Diceros bicornis minor: one gene and its partners. The protein of the gene in region 3 purifies or fractionates together with the protein of the main gene of each other region. This does not show direct contact. Links are inferred from orthologs where the notes say so. Each region holds a gene or a part of one and is shown on either strand. Other genes may lie near its edges.

Evidence for each region. Proteins that work in one complex are often made in the same cells at the same time.
Region 1: the proteins of melanoma-associated antigen 10-like (region 3) and FAM216A purify together in Homo sapiens (affinity purification with mass spectrometry; 3 studies listed by BioGRID and IntAct, counting the BioPlex papers as one, with this or other methods). This does not show direct contact. The link is inferred for Diceros bicornis minor from reciprocal best matches to the Homo sapiens genes MAGEA10 and FAM216A.
Region 2: the proteins of melanoma-associated antigen 10-like (region 3) and KAT2A purify together in Homo sapiens (affinity purification with mass spectrometry; 3 studies listed by BioGRID and IntAct, counting the BioPlex papers as one, with this or other methods). This does not show direct contact. The link is inferred for Diceros bicornis minor from reciprocal best matches to the Homo sapiens genes MAGEA10 and KAT2A.

Annotation. Positions count from the first base shown.
Region 1 is NC_080774.1:8,983,356-8,990,504, forward strand, and holds the start of FAM216A (protein FAM216A), read left to right. Parts: upstream 1-4,141; 5' UTR 4,142-4,198; coding exon 4,199-4,290; intron 4,291-5,648; coding exon 5,649-5,689; intron 5,690-7,149. Other genes in the region: GPN3 (GPN-loop GTPase 3), read right to left, coding at 739-847, 3,401-3,448.
Region 2 is NC_080757.1:41,309,335-41,316,836, reverse strand, and holds the start of KAT2A (histone acetyltransferase KAT2A), read left to right. Parts: upstream 1-4,494; 5' UTR 4,495-4,548; coding exon 4,549-4,887; intron 4,888-5,026; coding exon 5,027-5,150; intron 5,151-5,500; coding exon 5,501-5,646; intron 5,647-5,746; coding exon 5,747-5,836; intron 5,837-6,131; coding exon 6,132-6,313; intron 6,314-6,408; coding exon 6,409-6,600; intron 6,601-7,477; coding exon 7,478-7,502. Other genes in the region: RAB5C (ras-related protein Rab-5C), read left to right, coding at 1-29, 880-995; HSPB9 (heat shock protein beta-9), read right to left, coding at 2,642-3,124. UniProt on the Homo sapiens protein: Protein lysine acyltransferase that can act as a acetyltransferase, glutaryltransferase, succinyltransferase or malonyltransferase, depending on the context.
Region 3 is NC_080781.1:136,909,542-136,915,335, forward strand, and holds melanoma-associated antigen 10-like, read left to right. Parts: upstream 1-4,169; coding exon 4,170-5,276; 3' UTR 5,277-5,279; downstream 5,280-5,794. UniProt on the Homo sapiens protein: Not known, though may play a role in embryonal development and tumor transformation or aspects of tumor progression.

The DNA.
Region 1 (7,149 bases), on a different chromosome or scaffold from region 3:
CTCATCAACATCTTTGCTTTTTCTGGAATATACCAAACCTTTTCCCATCTCTTGGCTATTTATTGACCTTAATGTTCCCTCATCTTGGAAAGTCTTTCCTCAGCTTGGTGAGTACATTACCATCTTCAGGTCTAAGCCCAAATATCCCCTCCTCAGAGACAGTGTCCCTGACTACCCCACGTAAATCAACCTCCCCCAGTTATTCCTTCTCATCAGATTATTTGCAGTCCTTATCCCAATCTGTAATAGGTTTATCATTTTGCTTATTGCTTATCTCCCCTGCTAAAAGGTCTGTGAAGGCAGGGATAGTATCTGTCTTGTTCTCTGCTATAACCCTGGTGTCTGGCATAAAGTAAGTGTTCGACAGACATGTGAATGAATACATTAAAAGAATTTAAAAAAGCAAAGCACTTAGGCTGCTCACTAATAGTATGATCAGCAGTATACCCAATTCACCACAGCAGGACTAAGCCTGAAAGGCACAGAAGGGAAGGGTGGTGAGGGAGGAGTCTATTCACTTTTAATTCTTACATCAAAGACCAAGAAAGGATACTGACACATACATCATCACGAGTGGATGTCACCAAATGATACCCAGCCTCATGCTGTTCACCATGAAAACAGGGGACCAGACTGTAATAATTGATTTTTAGCTTCTGTGCTGAGCAGCCAGCACTCTCTGCGTCCCCAGACCCTTATTTTTCCTGAAGGAGGAGGAAGGCTCTGCTCAGAACTCACCAGCCATCACGGGGTAGTTGAAGTGTTCTGCTGCAGGATCTAGGTTCACAACCTGGACAGACCGATTGAGGGCTTCACAGTGCTGGACCATGGTGGCACAGTAGGTGCTCTGCAATGTCACAAGGCATGAGGAGTCAGAGCAACAGGCAGTGCAGTGCTACTGCCTGCACCCCCAGAAGGACTCTCTACACCCCCTGGGCAGTGTCTACTAAGGCCAAAATTATGTGTTCATCGACTAAAAAGCTGTCTGAAAAGGGCAAAGGCATTGCGCTGGGAATCAGGACACCTGACTGGGCTGCAGAACTGGCTTGGACTCAAGGGTAATTTGGGAGAAGCTGCTTCTCCACTCTGCCCCTCGATTTTCTCATCTCTAACTAGGATGACCTCCATGATCACTAAGACTCCTTCCTGCTCTAACGTGCAATGAGCGGAATTTAAAGGGAGCATTTCTGGTTACACAGTGCAGCAACTAACACATAGTGTCTCCACTAGGACGTGAACAGTCCAAACAAGGCTTTAGGTAGGGTGGTCAGAGACGATTTCTCTGAGGAGACGATATTTGAGCCAAGGGATGGGAATGCGCTTGCCAAACCAGGGGAAGAGCATTCCATGATGAGAGAACATTGACGTCAATAAATAGCATGGAGGTGGGCTATCAATTTGTAACTTTTGGTTTACAGAATTCTTTATCCCTCATGTAGTCATTACCACACTACGTTAAAAATCTCTAGGCTACTTGTCTGTCTCTCCCAACCTCTACTTAAAGGCTGGGATGTGTCGGGCCGGCCCTGTGGCTTAGCGGTTAAGTGCTCGTGCTCCGCTGCTGGCGGCCCACGGTTCGGATCCAGGGCTCGCACCGAGGCACCGCTTCTCTGGCCATGCTGGGGCCGCGTCCCACATACAGCAACTAGAAGGATGTGCAACTATGACATACAACTATCTACTGGGGCTTTGGGGGAAAAAATAAATAAAAATTAAAAAAAAAAAAAAATAAAGGCTGGGATGTGTCTTACGCAGTTTTATAAGTCCAGGGACTAACTAGCACAGTACCTGATACATAATAAATGCTTGATAATGATTTATAATCGACTGACTTAATATGATTTATAATCGACTGACTTAATGTTTGAATATAAACTCCATAAGGGCAGAGATTTGCGTGTGTGTCTTTTATTCAATAACACAATCCCCAACGGCCTAGAACAGTGCTTGGCACAAAGAACATGCTCAATGAGTATTTCTGATCATAAGCACCAAAAATTTATAGAAAGATACTTACCTAACACAATCAGTCCAAAAAGCAGTCCAGAATATAGAAATAACCTCTATCACACTTTCTCCTCAGTGACTTTACACATACTGTTCTCTCTGCCTAGGAGGCCCTCTCCATGCATCACACTGTATGTTAACTGACAAGTCATTTATCTGTATTTCCAGATAGACTATAGGTCTGGGTAGGCAAGAGCCATATCATAGTCACATGTATAACTCCTACACCCAGACTGAGGACAAACCTCAGAACGATGTGTTAATTTAAAGATTTAAGCCACACAACACCTCCACAGACTCGGGTGTTTCCCACACTCCTGTTATTTGACTAATACGTTCACCATTTCTACCATATTTGAATGTCCCTAATATTATTCCCTTAATACTTGTTTACAAGAAAAAACTGTATGTCTATCATAAACAGAAAACCAGTTATATTTATCATAACATGAAGGTAACCATAAAATTAAATACAACTTTATAACTCTTTTCATTCAAGCTAAATACAATTGCCTGTCAAAAGCTGAGTCTAAGATCTGCTCTCTGAAAACACTTGGGGATTAAAGAAGTGTTAAAGATACACCAACATAAGGGAGAGCCCCGTGGCTTAGTGGTTAAGTGCGCGCGCTCCGCTGCTGGCGGCCCGGGGTTCGCGCACCGACGCACCGCTTCTCCGGCCATGCTGAGGCGGGGTCCCACATACAGCAACTAGAAGGATGTGCAGCTATGACATACAACTATCTACTGGGGCTTTGGGGGGGTAAAAATAAATAAATAAAATCTTAAAACAAAAAAAGATACACTAACATCAAACTGACAATTTCACCTCAATGCAAACTGAAAGAAAATTAAAAAGGGAGCAACTTTCTCAATGTATGATTCAATGCTCATTAATGTCAGGCCCATGTACCTCCTAAAATCGCCTCAAATACCAGAAGTCCATGTCTCAAGCTCTGAGAAACAGTGATTAACGAGATGCCACTTGAACCTCTTGGGAGGGAGACAGGGCCAGATTCTGGAGATAGATAAAACCAGATTCAAATTCCAGCCGTCCCTTACTAGTTGTGTGATCTTGGACAAAGAACTTAACTTTTCTATGTCTCATTTTCCTTATCTGTAAAATGGGAATAAGACTTATCTCACTGAGTTGTTGTGGAAATAAATGAGACGTTTACCGCACTATCTGGGGCATAAGTATACAATATTAGCAACTATCATTAGTCTCTTTTCAAAACAACAACAACAAGGACACTGAAGCCCAGGCTGCAGAGGCGGCCTGCTCAGGGTCTCAGGGTCCCCAATACACACACCCGCCGGTCCCTCCCTCAGGACCCGAACCTCCTTGCCTCCCGCGAACTCCGACTTTTCTCTCCTTCTCCCGCCAAATCCTCACCTTCCCGCTGCCCGCGGGACCCATGACCAGCTGCGCATATCGAGGCATGCCGGCTTCCGGGGTTCCCGGCGCCTCCCGTCCCACAGCACCAACAGTCTGACCACCACGCTCCCTCCAGCCTTCGCGCGGCGCCCACTGAGTTCCGGGAACACGACGTGCGAACCAATCGCAATCCAAGCTCCTTTTGCGTCTTCTGTTCCGCCACACCTCTGATTACGGCGCGTCCCGAAGGCCAAATTCCATGTGAAACGCGCCGTCCGGCAGAGGGGGGAGTGTTTGCGCGTGCGCAGAAGTAGCTGGCGGAAATCTGCGGTTGGGATACAGGCGGAGCCGGGTTGCCTTGGTGATAACGGATAACCGACAACAATTAGCATCCCTGCGCCGGGTGCTTTCGACCTTGGTTTGCGTACTGACGTTTGACCTGTATGATGGAACTCGAGGTTTGCAAATTTGCTGAGGGTCTGGAATACTGAGGTGGAAGTCACTTCTTGTTTTAGAGGGCATGTATATTTCCTTCTCGTGACACGTCCCTTCCACAAAAAGATGCAAACGTGCAAACGCGCAATCAACTAAAGAACCCCCGCCCCTCCCCCAATTTAACTCCAAGATCGTGGATCTGCCCTCCCCGCTCTCCCGAAGCTATTCGGGCAGTGTCCGGACCGCATCGGAAGGGGCTCGAATCCGGCATCCGCCTCTCACCCCCAATATCGCCCGGCCTGACGCACGCGTGCTGACGGGGGAGGGGAAAGGGGAAAGCTGCTCCCGCACACAGCTCGCGGGCCTGGCACCCGGGAGGAGATGCCCGGCCAGGGTGCGGTGTCCGACTGGACGGAGTGCAGCTCTTCCGCAGAGCCGCCCGCAGTGGCCAGGACCGTGGGTGGCGGCGGCGGGTGAGACTGCGGGGCCAGGACTGTGGGTGGCGGCGGCGGGTGAGACTGAGGGGTTAGGGAGGACGGCGACCAGCCCAGGGTCGAGATCCCCCTGTAGAGGAGGGAGTGGGAGCTGGCTCCCCAGTGCACGGAAGTGAGAGGAGGAGAGAACCTTTTTGGTGGCTGGGATGGGAAATATGGAAGCCGACTCACTGTTTAGGGGAAGGGCTTCTGAGGGAAGCTTAGGAGGAGGGTTTGGTGCAATGACTAAATGCAGGGACTGCGACAATCGCCTGCGTACGTCTTTCTGCCTCGAGGGGGCGCTGCGAAACCTACTGGAAAAATTGCCGTCTTGCCACAGGATCTCTGCATAAAGGCGGGTAGGGGGACAACGGGGACAGATTCCTCCGGCTCAACCGAGGGCTTCCAAGTCAATAATTCAGTTCCCTGTATGTGACATTAGCCACCTTTATGTCAACGGGATTCATAATCGCCAATGAGACAAGTGATTATGAATATTAGAGGCACCTTGATCTTGACATTTTCTTCCCACAGAAATTCCTTCCTTCATAAATCCGTTTCATTTTGAGCAGGTGTCCACTATTATTTCCTGGATGCTGAAGACGATTAGTTGCTGAAGGCATTACCTCCTCATCCCTTCCATCAGTTATTCCCCAAATCTAGAGTTGCCAGGTGTTCCTCTCTAAATTCAGCCCACAGTCATGGCTCCTGCTGATATGTATCTGGCGGATTGACCTTTTAAAGATGGGATGGGGTCTTGTGTTTCTTTTCTGTTCATCACGGTGCTTGGTGAAGTGCTGGATCCCAGTATGTCGAGAGATCAATGAACTTTGGGTCATTGAATAAATTGAAAGAAGAGGGAGGGAAGGGTGTTTTGTCTTAAGTTGAGAAAAGAAAAAAAAAAACTTGTACAAAATTAGAGACATTCCAGACCAACTTATCAGTTCCAGTACACTTTAATTACATGCAATAAAGAACAAGATAGTCTTTTCCATACCCAAGTTACTTTATTAAAAATAAAGAGAGCAAAAAAAATATCATGGATAGCACAGAAGCCCAGACTACTTTATTGAGCTTAACATAGGAATTAGATTAGGAGACTATAAAAGTAAGACCAAATCTGGCTTAAAGTCAATCCTTTCTAGTAGAGTAAAAATCTCAGTTAACTCACTTTGAAAAAGCCTGGAGCCACTAGGATACAACCAGAATTAAAAGAGAAAATTTGCAAGACATTCTGTCTGATGGAAACATGAAAAGTAAAAAGGATATGAAATACTGCCTTTTTTCATTTAAAATACTTTCTTTACTGCTTATAAACTTGTCAATTATTACATATTATTTAATCCTTTTTTTAACAGATCAGCTGGACATTCTTATTACCAGAATTCCAAAGGTACTGGTGAGTAGAGCATATAAAGCAAATACCTATAAATAACATGGTGCAGAGAAGCCAATTTAGCTATGACCACTTACACAATGGAGTTTTTAAAATAGACTTTATTAGCATCCTTGGTGAACTTACTCTTTAAGATTTTCAAAGAACAATCCAGCAGGTTCTTTCTCTCCTGTTAAGATATCTCACATCAAGCATTTTAAAAAGAGTACTTCAAAATAGCAATGAATCTGAAAAGAACAGTGTTTATAACTGATGTTGGTTGAAAAGCACAGAGCACAGCCTGGGGTTTATATGCAGATTGAAGGAAAAAATCTAAACTGAACAACTTCAAAGAATATAAAATATTTCTCAGTGCTCCTATTTTCCTCTCACTTGAAATAAACGATAGAGTTGCTGGAGTTAAGAGTCAGACAGGCCCTCAAAGGCCTCTCACTAATTTTGGAGGAGAGAGAAATTTCAATTCAATGATATATAAACCTGGATTCACTTTACTTTTCCTTGGAAAATTTATAGTCCTTACAGTTACCTAGGAAAAACACACACATATGTGAGTGTATGTACATATATATAAAAATACATATATATGCATATATAAATAATGTGGTCATTTTAAAATGGAATTGCTGGATCATATGGCAATTCTGTTTAATTTTTTGAGGAACTGCCATACTGTTTCCACAGCAGCTGCACCATTTTACATTCCCATCAGTAATGCACAGGGTTCCAATTTCCCCATATCCTAGCCAACACTAGTTTTCTGTTTTTTTGATGAGAGTCATCCTTATAGGTATGAAGTGGTATCTCATTGTGATTTTGATTTGCATTTTCCTGCTGATTAGCCATAGTGAGTGTCTTTTCATGTGCTCATTGGCTGTTTGTATTTCTTTGGAGACATCCAAGTCTATTCAAGTCCTTTGCCCATTTTTCAATTGGGTTGTTTGTTGTTGAGTTTAACTATTATTTTTAAATGTTTCATTTTCTGTAAAGAAATGCTATCAAGCTTTTGTGGAATTAAATTTTAGTCTAGGCTATAATATACATCTCAGAAATACTGATTAGCAAGGACACAAAAGCTATATTCTTAGATAATTAACCCACATTTATCACTTAAAAAGGATTTTAAAAAATAAACTTTTATAATGTTGAAATGGTATTCATTATTACCGATTCCAAATTATGTTTTAAGGGTCATAATAACATAATTTCCAGATGATTTTCTATTTGTTGGCAAACTAGTCCTTCAGTACGCAAATATAACTCTTACTTATCTGCACTAACCATCCAAAATCTTGAGTATGCAAATATGTCTTACTTATCTGCACTAACCATTGCCGAAATCTCGAAGAAATCACTAAATTTAAAGTTTAATATGTAAGATTATAGTGGCCTTTGTTATCAATAATATTGAAACGAAACTGTGTTTATTTAATTGAGTTTACTAGGTACAAACTTTTAACTGAAAA
Region 2 (7,502 bases), on a different chromosome or scaffold from region 3:
GAACGTGAATGAAATTTTCATGGCAATAGGTAAGGTGCCTCTCCTCCCCTCCCCCCACCAGGGGCATACTGCTTATCTGATGTTCTTTTTTTTTGTGTGAGGAAGATCAGCTCTGAGCTAACATCCATGCTAATCCTCCTCTTTTTTTTGCTGAGGAAGACCGGCTCTGAGCTAACATGTATTGCCAATCCTCCTCCTTTTTTTTCCCCGAAGCCCCGGTAGATAGTTGTATGTCATAGTTGCACATCCTTCTAGTTGCTGTATGTGGGATGTGGCCTCAGCATGGCCGGAGAAGCAGTGCGTCGGTGCGCGCTCGGGATTGGAACCCGGGCCGCCAGTAGCGGAGTGTGCGCACTTAACCGCTAAGCCACGGGGCCGGCCCTTATCTGCTGTTCTGTAGGAGGTCTATGGGGTCCCTTCACCAACAGATCTTTCACCATTTTAATATTCTGGTAAAATTGTTTTCTTCTTTATCTGACTTCCAGATGCAGATAATTCCCCCAGATGTTTCTAAAGCCTGAGCCAAAGTCTCAACATGTCACTTCCTGACCCTTTAGCTTACCACCCACCGAAAGCCCCACATCACCCTCCCCCTGCCCACTTCTTAGGATTCTTTTAGCTCATTTGGCTCGGGACTCTTCTTGCTTGGGTTCCATCCTCGCTCTACCACTTACTAACTCTGCTCCTGGAGAAGTTATTTAACCTCTCTTTGTCTCAGTCTCCCAAAACACTCAGAATGCACCTGGCACCTAGAAGCGAAGCCCTCAGTATGTTAGTCATCACTGGTTGGGTGGTAAAGGCCAGATTCTCCTCGTGTGGACTTGGGAGAGAGTATCTGGGTACCCCCACAAATGCATTTTTCCCTCCTCTCCCAAACAGCTAAGAAGCTCCCCAAGAATGAGCCCCAAAATGCAGCTGGTGCTCCAGGCCGGAACCGAGGAGTGGACCTCCAGGAGAACAACCCAGCCAGCCGGAGCCAGTGCTGCAGCAACTGAGCCCCCCTTGCCTGCCCATTGCCCCCACCTCCTCCGCCTCAACGACCCGACTGGAACCAATCTAACCAATCGCACTTAACGACTCGGGCCACCACTGGGGGGGCAGGGGGAGGGGTCCACCATGATTTCTCCGTATAATTTTGATCATAGGCCGGAGTGAGTTATTCCACCTGCACCTTTCTGTACAAATACTAATTCAATTTTAAGTCTTAAGTCACTTTTTTAATATATATGATCTTCTGCTCTTCCCACTTCCTGCCCTTTCTACTGCTCTCCCACTCTTCCTTTGCTGGTAGTAGCCACGTACCCCTGTCCCCCACCCTTGTATATGGGGAGGTGGGGGCTGGAGCAGTTGCCCTTCTTTCCCTCTTGCTGATCAGCAGACTCAGCAAGAGCATCCATATCCTTACTGTGTTTGGAGTGGGCTGGTTCTGGGCGGTGGGGCAGGCGCTGAGGCTAGAGAAGGGAGAGGCAGCTCTTCCCTGAGTTGGCTGTCATCAGGCTGCGGCCCCCCCTCACCCCCTGACTCAGAGCCGGGAGAGAAACCACAGCATTACCACAGCGTTATTGTGACAGCCATGAACCCATTGCCCACAACCCCCCCCCCCCCCGTCCTTGGTCGCCCTGACCTCTGGCTCTGAGCCCTGTTCTGACAAAATCACGATGATGAGTATTTGGGGGTGGGTGGGTAAGGGGGGGAGTGGGAGGGGATGGAACCAACTTTTTCTGTATTTTGTATTGTATGTTTTCTTCAACATGTAACCAATCAGTATCTTGTCAATATAGTCAGCCGATCGATCGACCTCCCGCTTGTCTTCCTTGTCTTTCTCTGGTGGAGTTTATCAGACCATATCCTCTCTAGCTTACTTGAAGTTAATGCAGAATGAACTATTGAATCCTATTAAACAAAAGCCCCCCCCCCACCAGTGAGGGGATGCTGGTGGTCATGGTAACCAAGAGAAAGAGGCCCTTACTATTGTCAGCTGTAACTGGGTGGGAGCAGAGGTAAGAGTGACCTGGGCCTGAATCTCACCCAGTTTGAAGTTGCAAGTCTTACATTTGCCTCTCCCCAACCCCTGCAGGTTATATTGGGGTGATGTGCAGTTTATATTTGAAAATAGTTGGTCTCTGAAACACTAGAAATAAACAACATCTTTGGGGGTTTTTGGTTAGTCTGTACCATACCCATGAGGGGCTGGGTCCTCTCACCCTCCTCCCTGAAGAGGAAGGAACACCGATGGCCTCTGGAACCTTGAACTCGTCAGAAGCCCAAGACAGCACCCTCACACCAGGTCCAGTCATCTGGTCCCTGGTCTCTCAGGGCCCTCTGCTGGTTCTGGAGCCAGGTGATGCTTGGACCTTCCTGGCCCTCTGCTGCTCCCTGGTGGAGCTGCTGCTCTCAGCTGCCAAGGGCTATTTGGTCCAGGCAGTGAGCTGAGCTGAGTAGGCCAACACTGTCCCTCCCAGCTTCTCCTAGGGCCAGAGAGGCCTGATTCTTGGTGGACCACCACCTCTTGCCTTTCCTGCCTCCCTGGGCCCTCCATTTGGCCTCCCTCTACCTTTGTTATACCGCCACCTCTGACCCCACCACGGAGAAAAGACTACGGACACTAAGGCTAGGCTGCACACTACGGTTGTTTACTGGGTCAGGCTAGGTTGGAATCCTTGTTAGAGGTGCGGCTCCTGAGCCTCGGGGACGGTCCTGTTCGGGCTTCAGGGGAAGGCAGCACTGGGCGCTGGCCTCGGAAGCGCAGCTGGCCAGAGGGGGTCAGGCAGCAGGTCATGGCGGTGGGATCCAGGTCCGGTGGGAGCTGCACTTGCCGGTGCACCTGCTGCGCCATGCGGTAGCTATAGCCATCTGGGCTGCAGCCCTCCAGTTGCCGCTGGCCCGTCACCATCAAGCATCTGCCGTCCACTTGCACCACCAGCTCCTCGGGGGTGAAGCCTCTGGCATCCACCTTCATCTGGAAGCCATCCTCCACACAGACATCGTCCCGCACAGCTGCCACATCGTCCCCCAGCAGCCGCACCGGCAGCGTGGCCACTTGGTTCTGTTCGGCGAGGGCCACGCTGGGACACCGGGATGCCACCCGGCTCCCGTTGGGGAGACCGCTACCGACCCGTTGCATCCAAGTGAGCAACTGCTGTCCAAGGGCGCGAGGCCCCGAGTGTAGCGCTCGTCACTCGGGCAGGGGCGCGGACACCCGAAGAGGAGGGTCCTCACGCGGGCCCGCGCATGTCCCCTTCCGCTCCGCGCTACCCCGCGCGGCTCCGCTCTGTTCAGCCGCGCTCCCTTCGCTTCCGGCGAGGTTCGCATCTGCGGTTTGGGGTCAGCTATGCACGTCCTACCTACACGGGTCAGGTTGTCAGCCGCCCTGCCGCCCCCGTTGCTGCTTTTATCCTGGATCCTGCCCCTTTCTCGGGCCTTTCTCCACCTCCGTCAGAGGGCGCAGGCGGCCCTGGGCTGTGACCCTACTGGACCGACTAAACGAGGCTGGACGTGCGTGAGCCCGACCCTGGAGCGGTCACCAGCACAGAGCGGAGATAAGATTGAGCCTCCCGGCTCTTGCTCTGCCAAGAATCAGGCCTAGGGGCAAGAAGGATTGTCCCCTGAACAGAACCATCCGAATGTGACGGCGGAGTCATCCATTCTCGGAACGTCCTGCCTTTCTCTGACCATGCACGGTCCTGTGACACATGGGGATGGGGAAGTGAATGCATCTTCCTCGTTTCCTTCATTCATCCGACTCTGGGCCTACTGTGGCAGGCTTGGGGCTGGGCTCTGGGACCGCAGAGATGAAGACGGGCCCTGCCCTCGAGGTGCCCAGTGTGGGAGAGCCGTTCCCATACGCAGGGAAAGGCTTCTGCCCTCCTCTGTCTCTACCTCTTCCCCAACTCAGTAGCCTTCCCTCTGACCATGGCCATGCCTCTGGCACTCAGAGCTTTTACAATAAACTCTTTTTGCTGAAATGTAATGTACATACAAAAAAGCACACAGAAGGGTACAGTTGAATTATTGCAAACAGAACACCCGTGTAACTACTTCACAGGTCAAGAAAGAACTGTTGCTACTTAATCTCCACCGTAGCTGCAATTCTGTGTCTGGGGACATGTGGGACACGGCCGGGTGGGAGTGGGAGGGAGACATGACGGGAGCCAGTGCGACCTCAGTCCCCTGGCCTGTACTTCCACCCTCGGGCTTGGGAGGTGGGCAGAGCCCACGATTCTCTCAAACAGAAGCCTGTTTTCTGGGATGCTTCTCCTTGTCCCCAGGGAGACAGTAATCCGGACTCTCCCGGAAGCCTTCAAGAGAGATTAGAATTGACAAAGGGTCAAGCTGGGGTGCTGGCTCGGGACTCACTTGGTTGTCTTGGACCGAAAAACAGGACAGAAAAGTCTGGAAGCCGGAGGCGAAGAGAGCGGCGGTGGAAGACTACAACTCCCGTCATGCTCCGGAGCAGTGACGCCTGCGCACTGTGCGCCGGTTGCCCATGCGGCCCTAGGGCTGGGAGCGCCGCGCTGCGCCGCGCCGCGCTCAGCTTCGGGGGAGGCCATGGCGGAACCTTCCCAGGCCTCGACCCCGGCTCCGGCCGTGCAGCCCCGTCCCCTTCAGTCTCCAGCCCCTGCCCCAACTCCGACTCCTGCCCCCAGCCCGGCTTCGGCCCCAACTCCGGCTCCCACTCCGGCACCAGCCCCTGCCCCAGCTGCAGCCCCAGCTGGGAGCACAGGGACGGGGGGGCCCGGGGTAGGAAGTGGGGGGACCGGGAGCGGGGGTGATCCGGCTCGACCTGGCCTGAGCCAGCAGCAGCGCGCCAGCCAGAGGAAGGCGCAAGTCCGGGGGCTGCCGCGCGCCAAGAAGCTTGAGAAGCTAGGGGTCTTCTCGGCTTGCAAGGTGGGGGCGGGGCCTGGGGTGAGAGGGGGCGGGGCTTGGGGCATCCTAGGGCCCGGGTGGGAATTGGGGCAAAGCTCTGGCTAGGGAGCGGCTCCTCGTCCCGGGATACAGAGTTATTGACTGATCCTTCTGCCTCCAGGCCAATGAAACCTGCAAGTGTAATGGTTGGAAAAACCCCAAGCCCCCCACTGCACCTCGCATGGACCTGCAGCAGCCCGCTGCCAACCTGAGCGAGCTGTGCCGCAGCTGTGAGCACCCCTTGGGTAAGGCAGGTAGTGCCCTTGGAGCTGGGGAGGGTGGGCAGGTGCTGGGGCCTGCTTGGGCAGGATGACTTTAAGTGCCACAGAGCTTCTCCTCTGAAAAACCAAAGATGCTTCCTAAGCAGGGATTGGGTTGGGAGGGTGCATGCCCTATGGGAGAAGAAAGGAAATCTGCCAGCCCAGAAGACACGAGGGGCCACCCAAGGGCTGACAAAGGAGCAGTCAGTCTCGTTGCTGGTCACACTGGTTGGAGGGAGTGAAGGTGAATCTTGGCTGGTGATGAAGGGGGGCAGGAAGCCCTGTTGGTCTCTTCTGTTCGTTCTTCCCAATGCTGCGGTCTGTCCTTCTTGCAGCTGACCATGTCTCCCACCTGGAGAATGTGTCAGAGGATGAGATTAACCGGCTGCTGGGGATGGTGGTGGACGTGGAGAATCTGTTCATGTCTGTTCACAAGGAGGAGGACACGGACACTAAACAGGTCTATTTCTACCTCTTCAAGGTGAGCTTCCTCTGAGTGAGTGAGGGAAGGAGGTGAGGCTGTGGGGTCTGCGGCTCTGATCTCTGCTTACCTACGCTCCTCCCTTTTCCTCTTCCTCCAGCTCTTGCGGAAATGCATCCTGCAGATGACCCGACCCGTGGTGGAGGGGTCCTTGGGAAGCCCCCCATTTGAGAAGCCTAATATTGAGCAGGTGGGATGAGGAAGGTGGTGAGAGAATTGGGGGCATCTTGGAAGTGTGGGAAGCCCTTGTTCTCCATCCTCCTCAAGCTGAGAACAGGGGAGAGGTTCAGGGAAGGGAGGACGTTTTGTACCAACCTCAGAGTGGGCATGGGGGTGGGGAGGGGACACAGTTTCTCTTCACAGAGAGCCCCAGAGTGAGAGGAGAGCCTGGCGCCTGCCCTCAGGAAGCACCTATTTTTGGATCAGAAGTGCTGCTGGCTGTTCACCCCTCCTTCCTGGTTTTGTCCCCGCCCACCCCTTCTCAGGGTGTGCTGAACTTCGTGCAGTACAAGTTTAGTCATCTGGCTCCCCGGGAGAGGCAGACGATGTTCGAGCTCTCAAAGATGTTCCTGCTCTGCCTTAATTACTGGAAGCTCGAGACGCCTGCCCAATTTCGGCAGAGGTCTCAGGCCGAGGACGTGGCTACCTACAAGGTCAATTATACCAGGTAGGCCCAGCCAGGGACAGCATGGGGGAGGCTTGTAGGCCCAACCTGGGTTCAGTGGTTTCCACGCTCACTTACCACCCCCCCACTCCCTGCAGATGGCTCTGTTACTGCCATGTGCCCCAGAGTTGCGACAGCCTCCCCCGCTACGAGACCACTCACGTCTTTGGGCGAAGCCTTCTCCGCTCCATCTTCACTGTTACCCGGCGGCAGCTGCTGGAGAAGTTCCGGGTGGAGAAAGACAAGCTGGTGCCCGAGAAGAGGACCCTCATCCTCACCCACTTCCCCAAGTAAGGCTCATTCTGGCCTATTTGGGTTTTGCCCCAAGTTCACATCCTCCCTGTTGTCCCCTTTTTTCCAGGAAGGCTTCCTGGATTGGTCCCTCCTCTCCCTCCATGAGCCTTCTGGGATCTGGGCATCTACCTGGCAGACTTGCCCATGGCCCAGACGCACCTTGCTAGCATTTGCCTTTGCGTGTACTAGTCTGGGGATGGCAGGTACATGGCCCGAGTGCTAACACTATCCCTGCCCACACCCCAGGTAGACGTTACTAATTGTTTCCCACGGGGCCTGGACACAGCCTCAGAATCCTTCCCACCACAGCACTCCAAGAAACCAGAGCTTACACTTGAGGTGAAACCGATTTCCGCCCCTGTTCTAGTCCTTTCTGTAAGATTTTCCTCTGTTCTGCCACACTTTCCTTTCATTTTAAACCTGGCTCATAGCTGCCCAGTTCAGGAAGACTTTATTGACTAATCCAGGGCCTCCAGTGCTGCCCTAGGTAGGAATATGAGGTGGCAGGAGGGGTGGACTCTGAGCCCCATTTTGATACTGAGGCCCAGGGTGACTTGGTGCCCTGCCTGGCCACACAGCACAGGACAGCATCAGTTCAGACCCTGTGTCCCTGTGCTGTACACGTGGCACACTGGTCCTCTGATCTCTGTCCTGGATTGTCCTGTCCTCTTCGACTAGGGGCTCCCAGGAGGCGGGGGGGCCTGTGCCTCCCCCAAGTCAGAAGGCAGAGAGGCTGTCTCCGTTTTTAGGTTCCCAGTTCCCCGAGAGCAGGGTCTGTCTCTTTGACCCACCTCCAATCCCTCTGGTGTCTGGCCCAGGCTGCTCCCTTGGCTGGAGGACAGAGTTGTGAGACAGACTGTACCCTCCCCACAGGTTCCTGTCCATGCTGGAGGAGGAG
Region 3 (5,794 bases):
AGAGAGAAGGTATTCTTTCATAAAATAAGTATACACACATATATATAGTCTACATGTATCTATAAAGACTAATAGAAACATACACGAATGTATACAGTTTATTTGTATATTCACGTGGTGTGGACACATATGTGTCTATACGCACATAGAAGCTACATATGTGTTATAGATACAGGACAGCTGCAGAGGGCAGAGACGTACAATGTATTTCTTACTAGGAAGGAAGATTAAAAAGTGAAAATCCCTGCACTCGACCACGCAATACAAGGTCACCATAGACCCGGACCACCATCCCGAAGCCCCTGCAGCTGCTCAGCCTTTTCAGGACAAATGAAATCCAGAAAAAGAATGGTTCGCGGTGTTGGGCCGGCTGGTGCAGAGACACCACGGGAAGAGGGCCTGCCCCACGGCCCTGGGCACCACAGCCCCCACCCAGCACCTCCCCTGGGACCGCAGCCCTTCTCGGCCAGGGTGGACAAGGACCCTCCTGAGGGAGGATGAAGAGCACCCCCGGCCCCAGAACACAGGGTCCCACAGAACCCCCCTGCACCCCTGCTGTGCATTCTGGGGGACCCCCGGCAGGGCTGTCAGCAGAGCGCTCTCCCACGTCCCCCTCCTCAGACAACCAGGGGCGTCAGAGCTGAGAGTGAGGGGTGCAGATCCAGGGGGGCAGAGGGCTAGAGGCCCAGGCCGGGCAGAGTAGGGTGAGGAGAGGAGGGCGGGGCCAAGGGAACGTCCAGACCACTCTCACCCCTGCCGTCAGCACTGGGAGACCCCAGGCCATGGCGTCCGGATGTGACGTCCTCTGGCGTCCGCCTCCGAGGTCTGAGGGAGCCGAGGGCCTCGTGGTGGGAGGCCGGATCCGGGGCGGCAGAGGGAAGGAGCCCAGGCCCGGCCAGGTGTCCAGGTAGCCCCGGGAGGGAGGACTCCTGGCCCCACGGCGTCCAGGTCTGCTCCTGCCATCAGCCCTGAGGGACCCTGGGGGAAGGGGAGGGGGCAGGGTGGTCAGGCAGAGTTCCCTGCCCCCACCTCGTCCTCAGAGGAGCCTGCTGGGGAGTCCTGGGTCTGCGGGGAGTGGCCTCAGGGGGCAGAGGCCGGGGCCCAGGCCCTGCTGGGAGCTCAGGAGAGGAGCAGAGGGAGGGCCGAGGAGCCCCAGGCAATCCCTGTCAGCCCCTGCCATCAGCCCTGGGCGTCCGCGTGCTTAGTGGCCTGAGGTGACCTCCACAGACTTCCCCCAGGGCTCTCAGGCCAGTGAGGGCCTCGGATCCACAGAGGGAGGATCCCAGGACCTTCCAGGGCTCAAGGGGAGGACCCTGAGGGAGGACAGAGGGGGCCCCACAGAAACACGGCCCTGCAGGCAGCCCCGGGAGGCGCCAGGGCGCCATGAGCACAGGCCGCATTTCCGACTTCCGCATCCGGGACTGAGAGAGACCGGGGACTTGGTCAAGGGAGCAGGGTCTGAGGGGGGCAGAGGGGATGGCCCAGGGCCTGCTGGAAGTCAGGGGGAGATGCTGAGGGAGGCCTGAGGGACCCTGGACCCCAGGACAAACAGGGATCCTGTGGCCCTGTGCTGGTCTGGGGAGGCCCCAGGGCAGGATGACCGGAGGAGGCATTTGCTGCCTTCTGCCTCGGGGGTTTTCAGGAGGTGAGGAATGTGGCTTCAGGTCAGCAGAGAGTGGAGTCCCTAGACCCCCAGGGAGGACTGAGTAGACCCCCAGACCAGGCATAGGCGACCCCAACAGAAATCTGACCCGTGGTCAGTCCCTGGAGGCCAGGCAGGATGTCAGGAGAGTGGCCTGTCCACTTCCTCCTCGGGGTCTCAGCGGGATGGTGGCCTTGGCCTGCAGGACGCATCCTCAGGTTAGCAGAAGGGATGGTTGTAGGCCTGGCCAGGAGTAAGTATGAATACCTTGAGGACACTGAGGGGACTCCCTCCACAGCCAGAGGAGGACCTCACTGAAATCAGCCCTGCCCCAAGTCACCCCTGCAGACCCCCGGCAGGGGTGGCCGCAGGTGGTGCATCCTCACTCACCTCTGCCTCGGGCTCTCTGAGAGGTGAGGCCTTGTTCTGAGGGACGGTGTCAGGTGAGCAGAGGCAGCCACATTTGGTCAGCAGAGGAAGGAGTCCCAGAATCTGTCAGGACTCAAGACAAGACCCTTTGGGAGGAACAGAGGGCATGGAGGTTCCCCCCACCCCAATAGAGAAGGAAACTTACAGAGGCCAGCTTCCCCTGTTCTCAGCCCCAGGGAGGCCCCGGACAAGGATGGCTGGATGTACCCTGCTCTGACTTCTGCCACGTGGTTGGGGATGGGGCATCTCAGGGAGGTGAGGCCTTGGTCTGAGCGGGGACATCAGGTCAGCAGAGGGAGGAGTCCCAGGATCTGTCAGGTGTCAAGGTGAGGACCCTTCATGAGGGCTGAAAATACCCCCTCACCTCAGAAAAGAAAGGCCGGCACAGAGTCCTGCTGTCCCCTGTTCTCAACACTGGAAGGAACAGTTGGCGGTGGTCCTCAATGGCATGCTCACTTCTACCATGGGTGGCAAGGTGGGGAGTCCTCAGGGAGGAGAGGTGTTGCTCAGAGGGAGATGTCAGCTATCCAGGTGGGGGGCCGGGAAGAAGGGCAGGCCCTGGCAGGAGAAAAGACGAATAACCTACAGGAGGTCTGAGGGAACCCCCACCCAGGACAGAAGGGCTGGTCCCCTCTGCCAGCCTTTTGTGATCCTGGTGGGGGATGTGAGGGGTGAGGGGTTGGCGTGGATGTGGTGCCTCCTCCCGTTTCTCTCAGAGCCCTCAGGCAGGTGAGGACCTTGGTCTGAGAGGACGACGTCAGGTCATCCGAGGAAGCACATCTGGTCAGCTGAGAGAAGAGTCCCAGTTCTCGCCAGGAGTCAAGGTGAGGCCCCCGAGGGAGCAGTGAGTGTACCCCAATCCCCAGGACAAAGAGGGGGCCCCTCAGAAATCTGGCCTGCCCCTAATGTCAGCCCTGGAAACCCCCCAGCAGCGCCTGTCTGCCTGAGCCTGTCCTCATTTCCAGATCCGTGGTCTCAGGAAAGGGAGGGCCTTGGTCTGAGGCTCTGGAATCGGGTCAGCTGAGGCAGGATCCCAGGCCCTGGCAGGGGTCACGGTGAGGACTGAGGGGACCCCCACCCACACAGTCAGCAGGATGCATGGAGCCCAGGCCTCCTCTACCCTTCTGTCTGCCATGGGGAGACCCGGGATCAGGGGGTGGATTGATTCCCCCTCACTTCCTCTTCCTGTGTCTTCAGGAGATGAGGCCTTTGCCTAAGGAGGGCGGCCTCAGGTCAACAGAGGGAATTGTCCCAGGCCCTGAGGGTGTCAAGGTGAAGATTGAGCAGACCACCCATCCCAGGACACATGGAACCCACAGAGTTTGGCCACCCCTTATTGTCCCTTGGTGCTTCCTGTTAGCCCCTGGGCAGGTGTGGCCTGATGTGGGGCCCCTCACTTCCTTCTGTTCAGTCTCAGGGGTGTGTGGTGGTGTTCTGAGAGTTTTGCCTCAGGGCAGCAGAGGGGTGGGGCCCAGGGGCTGCCAGGGGAATGGTGAGGACCCTGCATGAGCACGGAGTGGACCACCCACTCTAGAACAGTGGGGACCTCACAGAGTCCAGCCCGCCACTCCTGTCAGCACTGGGGGCCCAGGGCTCTGCTTGCAGTCTGCACCCTCAGGTGCCCCCTCGTTTCCTCTTACAGGGGCTCCAGGAACCCGCAGGTGAAGCCCTTGGTCTGAGGCTCGTGACCTCAGGTCGCAGAGCAGAGGAGGCCCAGGCAGCGCCAGGAGTCAAGGTGAGGTACACACCCTGAACGTGGTCCCAGGGGCTACCCCATGCCAGAACCATGGAGACCTCGCAGCGCCCGAGTCCACCCCACCCCACCGTCGTCCCCAGAACCTCGGGCTGTGCTGGGTGCACCCTGAGGAGCCGTCTCACTTCCTCCTTCAGGTTCTTAGGGCACAGGCCGCCCAGGAGGACAGAGCCCTGCGAAGCCGAGAGCACCCCTAAAGAGGGGGCCTGTAAGTCGCCTTTGTCAGAGCCGCCAAAGGGTGCATCTCTCAGCCGAGGCTGCTCACTCTCCCTGTCTCCCCCAGGCCCGTCCGTCCCCATCGGTCAACTGCCCACGCTCCTGCCGGCTGCCCTGTCACGAGTCATCATGCCTCGTGCTCCAAAGCGACGGCGCTTCATGCTTGAGGAAGGCCTTCAGTCCCAAAGTGAGACACAGAACCTCGTGGGTGCACTGGTGCCTGTGGTTGTGGAAGAAGATGCTTCTTCATCCTCCTCCACCTGCTCCTCCTCTTTTCCTTCCTCTTTCCCCTCCTCCTCTTCCTCTTGCAATCCTCTGATCTCAAGCACTCCGGAGGAGGTTTATGATGTTGCCCGGACCCCGAGTCCTCCCCAGAGCCCTCAGAGTGCCTGCCTCTCCCCCGCTGCCATGGCCTCCACTCCACTGAGCCAGTCTGAAAGCGATGGCTCCAGCAGCCAAGAAGAGGAGGGTCCGAGCACCTCACAGGCCCTGCCAGAAACTGAGTCCTTTCCCAGAAACTTGCTTGATGACAAGGTGGCTGATCTGGTGGAGTTCCTGCTTCTCAAGTATCGCACAAAGGAGCCGACCACAAAGGCGGAAATGCTGAATCTGGTCATCAGAGAATACCAGGACCACTTCCCTGTGATCTTCAGCCAAGCCTCTGAGTGCATGCAGCTGGTCTTTGGCGTTGACGTGAAGGAAGTGGACCCCAGCGACCACTCCTATGTCCTGGTCACCACCCTGGGCCTCACCTACGATGGCATGCTGAGCGGTGAGCAGAGCATGCCCAAGACTGGCATTCTGATACTTATCCTGAGCATAATCTTCGTGGAGGGTGACTGCGCCCCTGAGGAGGACGTCTGGGAAGCGCTGAGTGTCATGGGGGTGTATGCCGGGATGGAGCACTTCATCTATGGGGAGCCCAGGGAGCTCCTCACCAAAGTTTGGGTGCAAGAACAGTACCTGGAGTACCGGCAGGTGCCCAACAGCGATCCTCCATGCTACGAGTTCCTGTGGGGTCCCAGGGCCCACGCTGAAACCAGCAAGATGAGTCTCCTGGAGTTTTTGGCCGGTGTCACTGGGAGTGACCCCAGATCCTTCCCAGTGTGGTACGAGGAAGCTTTGAGAGATCAGGAAGAGAGAGCCCAGGCCAGAATTGCCAGCACGGATAGTGCTACTGCCACAGCCAGTGCCAGTTGTAGTACCGTGCCCAGTAGCTTCTCTTTCCATGAGTGAGGTCTAAGGCATAGTCTTCCCTTTGTGTTTTAAGAGGACAGTCAATGATCTAAGCACTGGAGGGCCAGGCTGGGGCTGAGGGCATCATAGAGCGTAACATCTTTGTGTTCCTGTTCCATAGGGGGGACTTTGAAATGTATCTTTTTCTATTTTTTGTATTTTAAATTGTTGTTACTTTTAGTATAAAGTTTATTAGCTTCCGAATCTAAGTTTGTGAATGACGTTGGTCACACATTTATTGCTGTTTATTCAGTTTAAAAGAAAGTTTTGCTATTTTGTAAAAAAGAAAGGAGGAGGGGAACCTTCCATTTTATTTAGTCTGAAACAAGACAACTTGGCATTGGAATAGGAATTTCCTTGGAAATGCGAAAGAACTTAGCAGTAAAATAGAGAAGAAATTTAAACGGCAATTTTTGAATTCTATTATCATTTTTAGTCTATCATTCTGTAAAATGAAAAGGTAGATACCTTGATTTTCTCAGCTTATTCAAGAATGTAGAAGAAATTAAATGAGTAAT